2 linked regions of the Oryzias latipes genome follow. The protein of the gene in region 1 purifies or fractionates together with the protein of each later gene. This does not show direct contact. Links are inferred from orthologs where the notes say so. Each region holds a gene or a part of one and is shown in the gene's direction. Other genes may lie near its edges.

Region 1 (4,094 bases):
TTGCCTGTTTTCTTTTTACACTGAGAAATTCCAGAAATCAGGAAGAATTCCCACTGTGTTTTTGTTTCCTGAGTCACATGACAGCTAAAGCAACAGACAGGCAAACAACCATTGATCTTTATTATGGCTGTATATTGCTTTGGGAATGGATGTGGCACAAACATGATGGTGGCAAAGCCAAAACAGGTTCTCTAGAAGTACATTAAAAATAAATGGCTTGATGAAAGAGGAAACAGATTAGTTGTGGAGCTAAACGTCATCCTGAATGAGGAGACAAAAGTCAACCAGGAAGTTGTGTTTTAGACCAATCAATGGGTAGGTCTCTCAAAAAATAGATTTTGTTGACAGTCTTTCTTTTATTTAATATTGATTTTTTAGATACTCATTAAGTTCTAAAAGTTTCTTTTATTTGCCACTATTGAGGAAAGCATATACAGTTTAAATTATAGGGAAACAAGGCAAAATAGAGATGGAAACTCCCAAAACTGTTGTGGAAATATAATTTTATGTATTCGTTTTTTTTACTGGTAAAAAAATTGTATGCACTCGATTGTCCAAGTTTATAGTGTGTGTGTGTGTGTTTTTTTATCAGGCTACCTGTCCAGCTCCTACAGAAAACAAAGCGACAAAGCAGGCCCACCAGTTTACAAGCCGCATGACATGGTATCAAAGGCTGCTGTCCGAGAAGCTGTGGAGGCCTTCCTGTCCAGATCCCAGGCTGATCTGGACCAAGCCTTACCTCTTCATGTGGAGGAGTCTCTAACTTATCTGCAGGATTACCTGCTAGATATCTGTCATAATTAAACTCAAAATGTTCTTGTCTTTTTTTTATGCTGATTTTTTTTTTTTTTAATAAAAATGAACTATATGTTAAAAGAAATAATTTATTAATTTTGTTGTGATTGTACATGTTTTGGAGGCCTTCCTGTCCAGATCCCATGCTGATCTGGGGCTAAAGGCTTTACCTTTTCTGCAGGATCCCCTGCTAGATGTTGAATTCAAAATGCTCCTGTACTTTTTGGTGCAGAATGTGTTCTTTTTTTAAAATCAATTATATATTAAATATGGTTTATTTATTTTGCTATGTTTGTATTATAAAATGTTTTAATGAGTTTAAATATCACTCTTGAATAAATTTTTTATTGTTTGTATCACTGTTGAATACATTTTTTGTTTTGCCCTGAAATACCTTTGTTTATTTTACATGATCTTCCTCCTCCTCCTCCTCTTCCTCCTTACAGATTGGACCATTACATCATTAGCTTGGACTCAGTGATAAACAGCTCATTCCTTTACGTATAGATATTTTCCAAACAACTGGCGGTAAATTTAACCAGAACGTAAAAGTGCGGTGTGGTGACACGGTCCAACACCTGGTTGAACCCTCTGCTCGGTGAACCAATAAGACGCTTCGCTCTTATCGGCACCGAAAAAAAAGTCCTCACAGTCGCCATGATGATATAGCAGCGGAAACGGAGAAGTAGCTAGAAAACAAAAGAGAACACGCAGTTGTCCTCGCGGATTGGTATGCTCTTGCAGGTAAACATGCCATCCTTTCGGTTAGGAGTCAATATAGGTCTATTATTTGGTCACGGCGTCTCCAAGATGTGTAAATCGCCTCCGTCGTGCCACCAAGCTAGAGCTTATTTTTGTGGAAAGGCGCTAAGCTTCAAATAATAGGAACATGTTAGCTTTTAGCTAGTAGGCTAAGCTAAGCTAAAGAGCTCGCCATTTCTTTTAAGCACCGCATGTTTATAGTTTATTTTTGTTTTGATGGTTTTAAATGGTATGTTCAAATTTACATTTAAGTGCAACTGTGAAATTTACCCGAAAAGTTGTTAAATAACGCTAAGTAATGTGTTGTGGCCTCGTGTTTATCATGCGCAATTGTGGTTTGCCATTATGTAAACAAAAAGTGGTAGATAAAGCTACAAAATCTGTTGATATTTTTTTTTCAGGGTTATTTTGGAAAGTTATTGTGGGCTGTAAACGCAATAAACTCCACGAACCCCTTTTCTTTCTCACAGGTGGATAAGGTTGTTGCTTTGTTATGACTAGTTCGATAGCTTAAATTAGGTTAAGCTAGGCTAAAAATCAGTTAGCGACAGCGAGCATAATCGCCAAAACCTCGTTGCATTTTTACTGATATCATACTCTGTTTTCTAATTCTGCTCAGTTTTATCCCTTATACTGGAACATAGTTTTCAGGTTTGTGCAAAAGCGTTGACATGTATTTTTATTGCCTTTATGTAACAGCTGTTAATCAGTGTTTGTGGTTTATGTTTTGCTTCGGAAATGATAGCAGATTGTTCATGATTGGCCAGATGATGAAAACCTTTAGCGTTCTTTGAAGTTCATATAATAAGATGTCACTTCATAAATAAAAACATAATATTTGGGATTTCATCCTCATTTTTGTGTACTTTTAGAAATAGTAACCCTATGAATGTCTCACTTTTTCCATTGATGGGTTTTTAACATGAATTGATTTCTGCAGTGCTATAGGAATGCCCAAGGAAAAATATGACCCGCCGGATCCGAGGCGGATGTACACAATTATGTCCAGCGAGGAGGCAGCAAATGGGAAGAAGTCATACTGGGCTGAGCTGGAAATCAGTGGTGAGTGTCTTTAACCTTTGTAGACACATCTGCTCCTTCTGAGTTTTTGTAGTTTGCATTAAGATGAGAAAACAAAAAGTCATGTTGTATTTGTAAGCATATTCAACAAAATTGGAATATTAAGATGGGTGTATTGTTTGTGTATAGGTGTAATCCTTCATAAATGACAGACCTGATTATTTCTGTTAGTGCAGCAGCATTACACAGTAGTAATTAACGATTACCGGTAGTGAAAAAACAAAACAACCTAAAGCTTTTAGTCATTATCTCCACTCTGTGATTGTTGTAAGTCTTATTCATTGGAGCACACAAGAGCATAAGATGAACTTGTAAACAATTATTAAAAGATAAAAAATTGTGTTCAAATTTGGGGAAACTGTTTTAATCACCTCTAAACCTTTGTGGTCCATTCTTTTGTAGAAGTGTAACAATTATTCGATGAATTGATTTCTATTCTTACGATCCAACCAAATGAATCTGTCTGAGGCAAGTTGTTAATCGAATCAAATCCCATCAACCTCTACGATAATATCGTTTAAGAATGAAAGAAATCAAATCGACATTGGAAAATACCATTTGGATTAAGGTTTATTTTACTATAATGTGAAAAGCACCATCACAGAGGACAACACGCATGTGATGGCAGCAAAAAAAATAAAGTCATCATTTCAGTCCAGTGTGTGGAAACACTTTGAATTTTGCAAAGACGTGACTATTCAATGTGGTGGAATTATCTTAATAACGTTCCCTTGGGATTATTTTGATGTGGAAAAAAAAGAGTGGGCTGAACTTTATGAAACTAAAATGTGAATGATTTGTTATTAAGTCTTGTTTACTTTTTTGTTTGTACACATATTTAATTTACACTTGATTATCTTGCAAGAAATACAAGGAATCTAGAAAACTTCACCTGATCTGTTCAGTACTTTAGTATTTCTTTCTGAGTCACGCTGGTTGAATTGTTGGCTAAAGATATCTTGGACCGATTTTAGGCCAGTGAATCGGATCTTATTGGATTGTTCTAAATGAACCAATATCAGTTTTGAATCATATCTGCAACTACAAATTATGATATGAATTGAATCCTTGTTAAAGTGAATTGTTACACCCCTATTCCTTTGCAATGGATTGCACGGATGCAAAGATGCACTTTCTTCACGATTCGCTTCAAACTTCCTTTTTTGGGCCATGGTTTTATTGCCCTTTGATATATGATTTGTGAATTACAAAACAACAACAAATAGCAAATAACAATGAATAAAAACATTTTTTGGAGGGTTTACTAAGCCTGGTGTGATGGAATTAAACAAGAAATAAAAAAAATTCCTCTTGAATTTAACACCAAAGTGTTTGACACTTTAAACGTAAGCATGCTGGTATGCCGTAGAAATGCAACCATTCATTTTCCACACAATTCGGTCTCGCGGCATCCCAAGTAGATTTTATATTTTCAAAATGAGTTCAGTCAGAAATGT
Region 2 (3,500 bases), on another chromosome or scaffold:
AGATGTTTCGATTTAGATAAATAATAAATATTGATTCTATTTTTCCATTTTTTTTAAAACTGCTCCTACTGGTCTCATGTTTGTTCAGTAGATTATTTTAAAAAAAACGGATGAATTGTTTTTAATTGTAGTACAATGCATTGTGGGAGTATACAAGAGACAAGCTGATTGTGTTAGTAAGCTTAATGAAAAACGTAAACATTTTAATTGGATTTGAAATCCTTTTTTCAAACATGTTGAATTGTTAAAGAAATTAGTTAGAAAAATTGGCCTTTGCATCTTCTGTGAACCATTTGGATCAGAACAAACAAAAGTATTACATTTTTCATTGAAAGATAGTTCCTGCATTCCTGATAGATGATTGTATTATCAGGGAATTTAAAAAAAGATAACAGAAAAGATCTGTTGTGTGTATGTATTTGTCAAGAAATAATCCTTTTTCTCAGAAGAATGACCTAAAGATTTGGTCAGCTTGGTCCGTCTGTCTAATCATGTTTTGGATGTTTGTTTGAGCAAAATAAGAAAGCAAAAGGAATTTTCAGTGCTTTCTCCTTGTCTTAGTTGTAACATGTTGCTCAGTCTGCCAGCTGTGGTACAGTTGCTCTAAAACCTTTGTTTGGTTGTAGATTGTAAATCGTCACGGACCTGAGGCAGACAGGCATCTACTACGCTGTCTCTTCTCCCATGTGGATTTCAGTGGCGATGGTAAAAGCAGTGGAAAGGACTTTCACCAGGTAAGCAATTTCACCTTTTTAGAGCATTTACTCGGTTCCCATAATACTCCCATATCTCTGTGTCTTTTCCCATCAGTTAGGGGGTGGGAGGTGTGAAAGGAGTGGGGGGCCCTATTTATTTATTTTTATTTATTTATTTATTTTAATCGTCATGCTTGTTTTTATATTTTGTTGTGTTTTAATGTAAAGCACTTTGTGTTATATTTTTATATGAAAAGTGCTTTATAAATAAAGTTTGATTTGATAATTAATTGACCTTTTTTTTACGTTGAATGTATTTTCTGTCGTTTGCCTGACTGTCCTCTGATTGTTCAGACACAGTTTTTGATCCAGGAGTGTGTGTCGCTGATTTCAAAGCCCAACTTTATCTCCACTCTGTGTTACGCCGTTGACAATCCTCTGCATTACCAGAAGGTAAGAAACGCAAAAGCACACCCATGCACGCACACATTTGTCCTGAAGGGTCAACTTTGCCCATTTAGGCTTGTGTTAAGGACGCTTACAGCTACTCTGTCACAATCAGATGAGATTATGTAACAGTATTGCAGAAAATGAACTATTGCAACACCAGATTTATTTAAAAAAAGCCCATTGTCTGTGGTAAAAAGAATGAAAACGTGAATTTCTTTTATCTTAAATTACTGAGCACATTTTTTAAGACTGATGACCTTAACGTTGTTTTACTTTTAGCTAGTGGTGGAACGGTACACATAGTTGGACCGTGTTTGCATGAAAGGAAAAAACAATTGGATAATGCTGTGTTTCGACATTTATTGTTACACGAAGATAGCGTATGCCACAGTAAAACATCCAATCTGTTAACGCACTTAAAACGGCATCACCCGACTGTAAAAATTGGGTCTACAAGAGAAAAAAATGTGCAAGTTAAAATGTTTTTTTTCTTTTCAGGCCAGTGGTAATTATCCAGTTTTTGGTTCCAGACAGCTAATAGTTGTATTATTTTATACAGCAGATCACTTACATAGGTCAGTTTTATTTATCGTTGTATAAAACCATTAAATGCACTTTGTAAGTGATTTTTTTTCTGCCTTTTTGTACCGAAATAATACAGAAAATGTATCAAACCAAGCCGTATGAAATTCTGAACCGAACCGAATTGAGATTTTAGTGTACCGTTTCACCCCTACTTTTAGCACCTAAAAACATGGTTTTACATTTAAGGATTCCTTCCCAGCTGTGTTGACATGTTGTGCTGGATCTGTCTTTCAGAGTTTAAAACCATCAGCCCACCTTTTCGCTCAGCTCAGTAAAGTTCTCAAGCTCAGCAAGGTCCAGGAGGTGAGTGGGTTCAACCATCAACTGCATTTTACTGATCTCTATTTATAGTCATGACATTATTTTTGATTTAAGGTTGTTTGGACTAAAAAGTTATGTTTTACCAAAATGTTCTTTTTCCAGATGGTTTCCTGTAGAAACTAACATGATTTAATTAATTTCAGGTGATTTTTGGCCTTGCCTTGCTTAGTTCCAGCAACACAGACCTTCGAGGTTTCTGTAAGTGGTTTTGCTTTTCCCTAAACCTTCTGATGTTTAAAGTGTGTCATTTATCTTTGCAATTTAAATGTAGAGACAGTTAAAGGGAAAAGAGAAAATCTGCCATCAGTTATTTTCTTATGTCCTCAATTATGTTCGAATATTTTTCTTTTAACATTCATTAACCTAATAAATGTTTGAATTTTAATCGGCATAGCTATTGGGTTTGTAGAGAATGAGATTATTGGCTTCAGTGTTGGATAACATTTCAGGTGTTGATAATGAAACAAAGAAAGTTTTGAATTTTGAATTGATATTTTGCTATAGCTGCACAGTTCATCAAGCAGAAACTCCCGGACCTCCTCCGCTCATACGTCGACGCAGATCTTGGAGGAAACCAGGAAGGTGGCTTCCAGGATATTCCTATAGAGGTGTTGCACCTGCTGCTTTCCCATCTACTATTCGGTCAGAAGGGGGCCAGTGGGGTAGGGCAGGAGCAGATTGACGCCTTCCTGAAGACCCTTTGCCGAGGTACGAAGGTCCAGTACAATCCATAGACACCTCAGCATCTGTCACTTTGTAGAATCAAACAGAAATGATGCTGTTTTTCAGATTTTCCCCAGGAGCGCTGCCCTGTGGTGCTCGCACCACTTTTGTACCCTGAAAAACGGGACATTCCTATGGACAGGATCTTACCAGACTCGGGGGAGTTGGCCAAGACCACCATGGAGAGTTCTCTTGCCGACTTCATTCAGGAAGTGGGCTATGGCTTCTGTGCTAGGTGAGTTTCTCACTCTAATAAAGCTGACATAATTCCCCCAAAAACAGTCAATCCAGGTTGTGAGTGGCATCCTGCTGTCCTTTCAGATGTAGAACTATTTGGAATGATGGTCTGTGAGAAATGCTGCAGAGCCCTGAAAGCAGTTCTCTATTAGTAACATCCATTAGTCATTTAATTTGACGTCTGTTTGGATCCTCTCAGGAGAAGCTCTGCCACAACAATCAGCTTTAATCTGTTTCTTTCCAGTCTGGATGAATGCAGGAACATAATCCTCCAGTATGGCGTGAGAGAGGTGACTGCCAGCCAGGTAGCCAGGGTCTTGGGGATGATGGCTCGAACTCACTCTGGCCTTACCGATGGCATCTCGCTGCAGGTGAGGCAGCCTCAAAGAGCAAGCAGCCCTCCAACATACTTTGATGATTTAACATAAAAAGAAAAGCTAATCTTAATGCTCTGGAAGTTAATCCAGTGTTTTTGTTATACCAGCTCAT

What was found. Proteins that work in one complex are often made in the same cells at the same time.
Region 2: the proteins of CCR4-NOT transcription complex subunit 6 (region 1) and cnot1 purify together in Homo sapiens (affinity purification with mass spectrometry; 5 studies listed by BioGRID and IntAct, with this or other methods). This does not show direct contact. The link is inferred for Oryzias latipes from reciprocal best matches to the Homo sapiens genes CNOT6 and CNOT1.

The regions. Positions count from the first base shown.
Region 1 is NC_019868.2:16,541,072-16,545,165, forward strand, and holds the start of CCR4-NOT transcription complex subunit 6, read left to right. Parts: upstream 1-1,294; 5' UTR 1,295-1,539; intron 1,540-2,497; 5' UTR 2,498-2,507; coding exon 2,508-2,619; intron 2,620-4,094. Other genes in the region: simc1 (SUMO-interacting motif-containing protein 1), read left to right, coding at 593-804. UniProt on the Homo sapiens protein: Poly(A) nuclease with 3'-5' RNase activity.
Region 2 is NC_019864.2:25,892,733-25,896,232, reverse strand, and holds part of cnot1 (CCR4-NOT transcription complex subunit 1), read left to right. Parts: intron 1-626; coding exon 627-734; intron 735-1,049; coding exon 1,050-1,148; intron 1,149-1,964; coding exon 1,965-2,033; intron 2,034-2,194; coding exon 2,195-2,249; intron 2,250-2,555; coding exon 2,556-2,759; intron 2,760-2,840; coding exon 2,841-3,009; intron 3,010-3,255; coding exon 3,256-3,382; intron 3,383-3,500.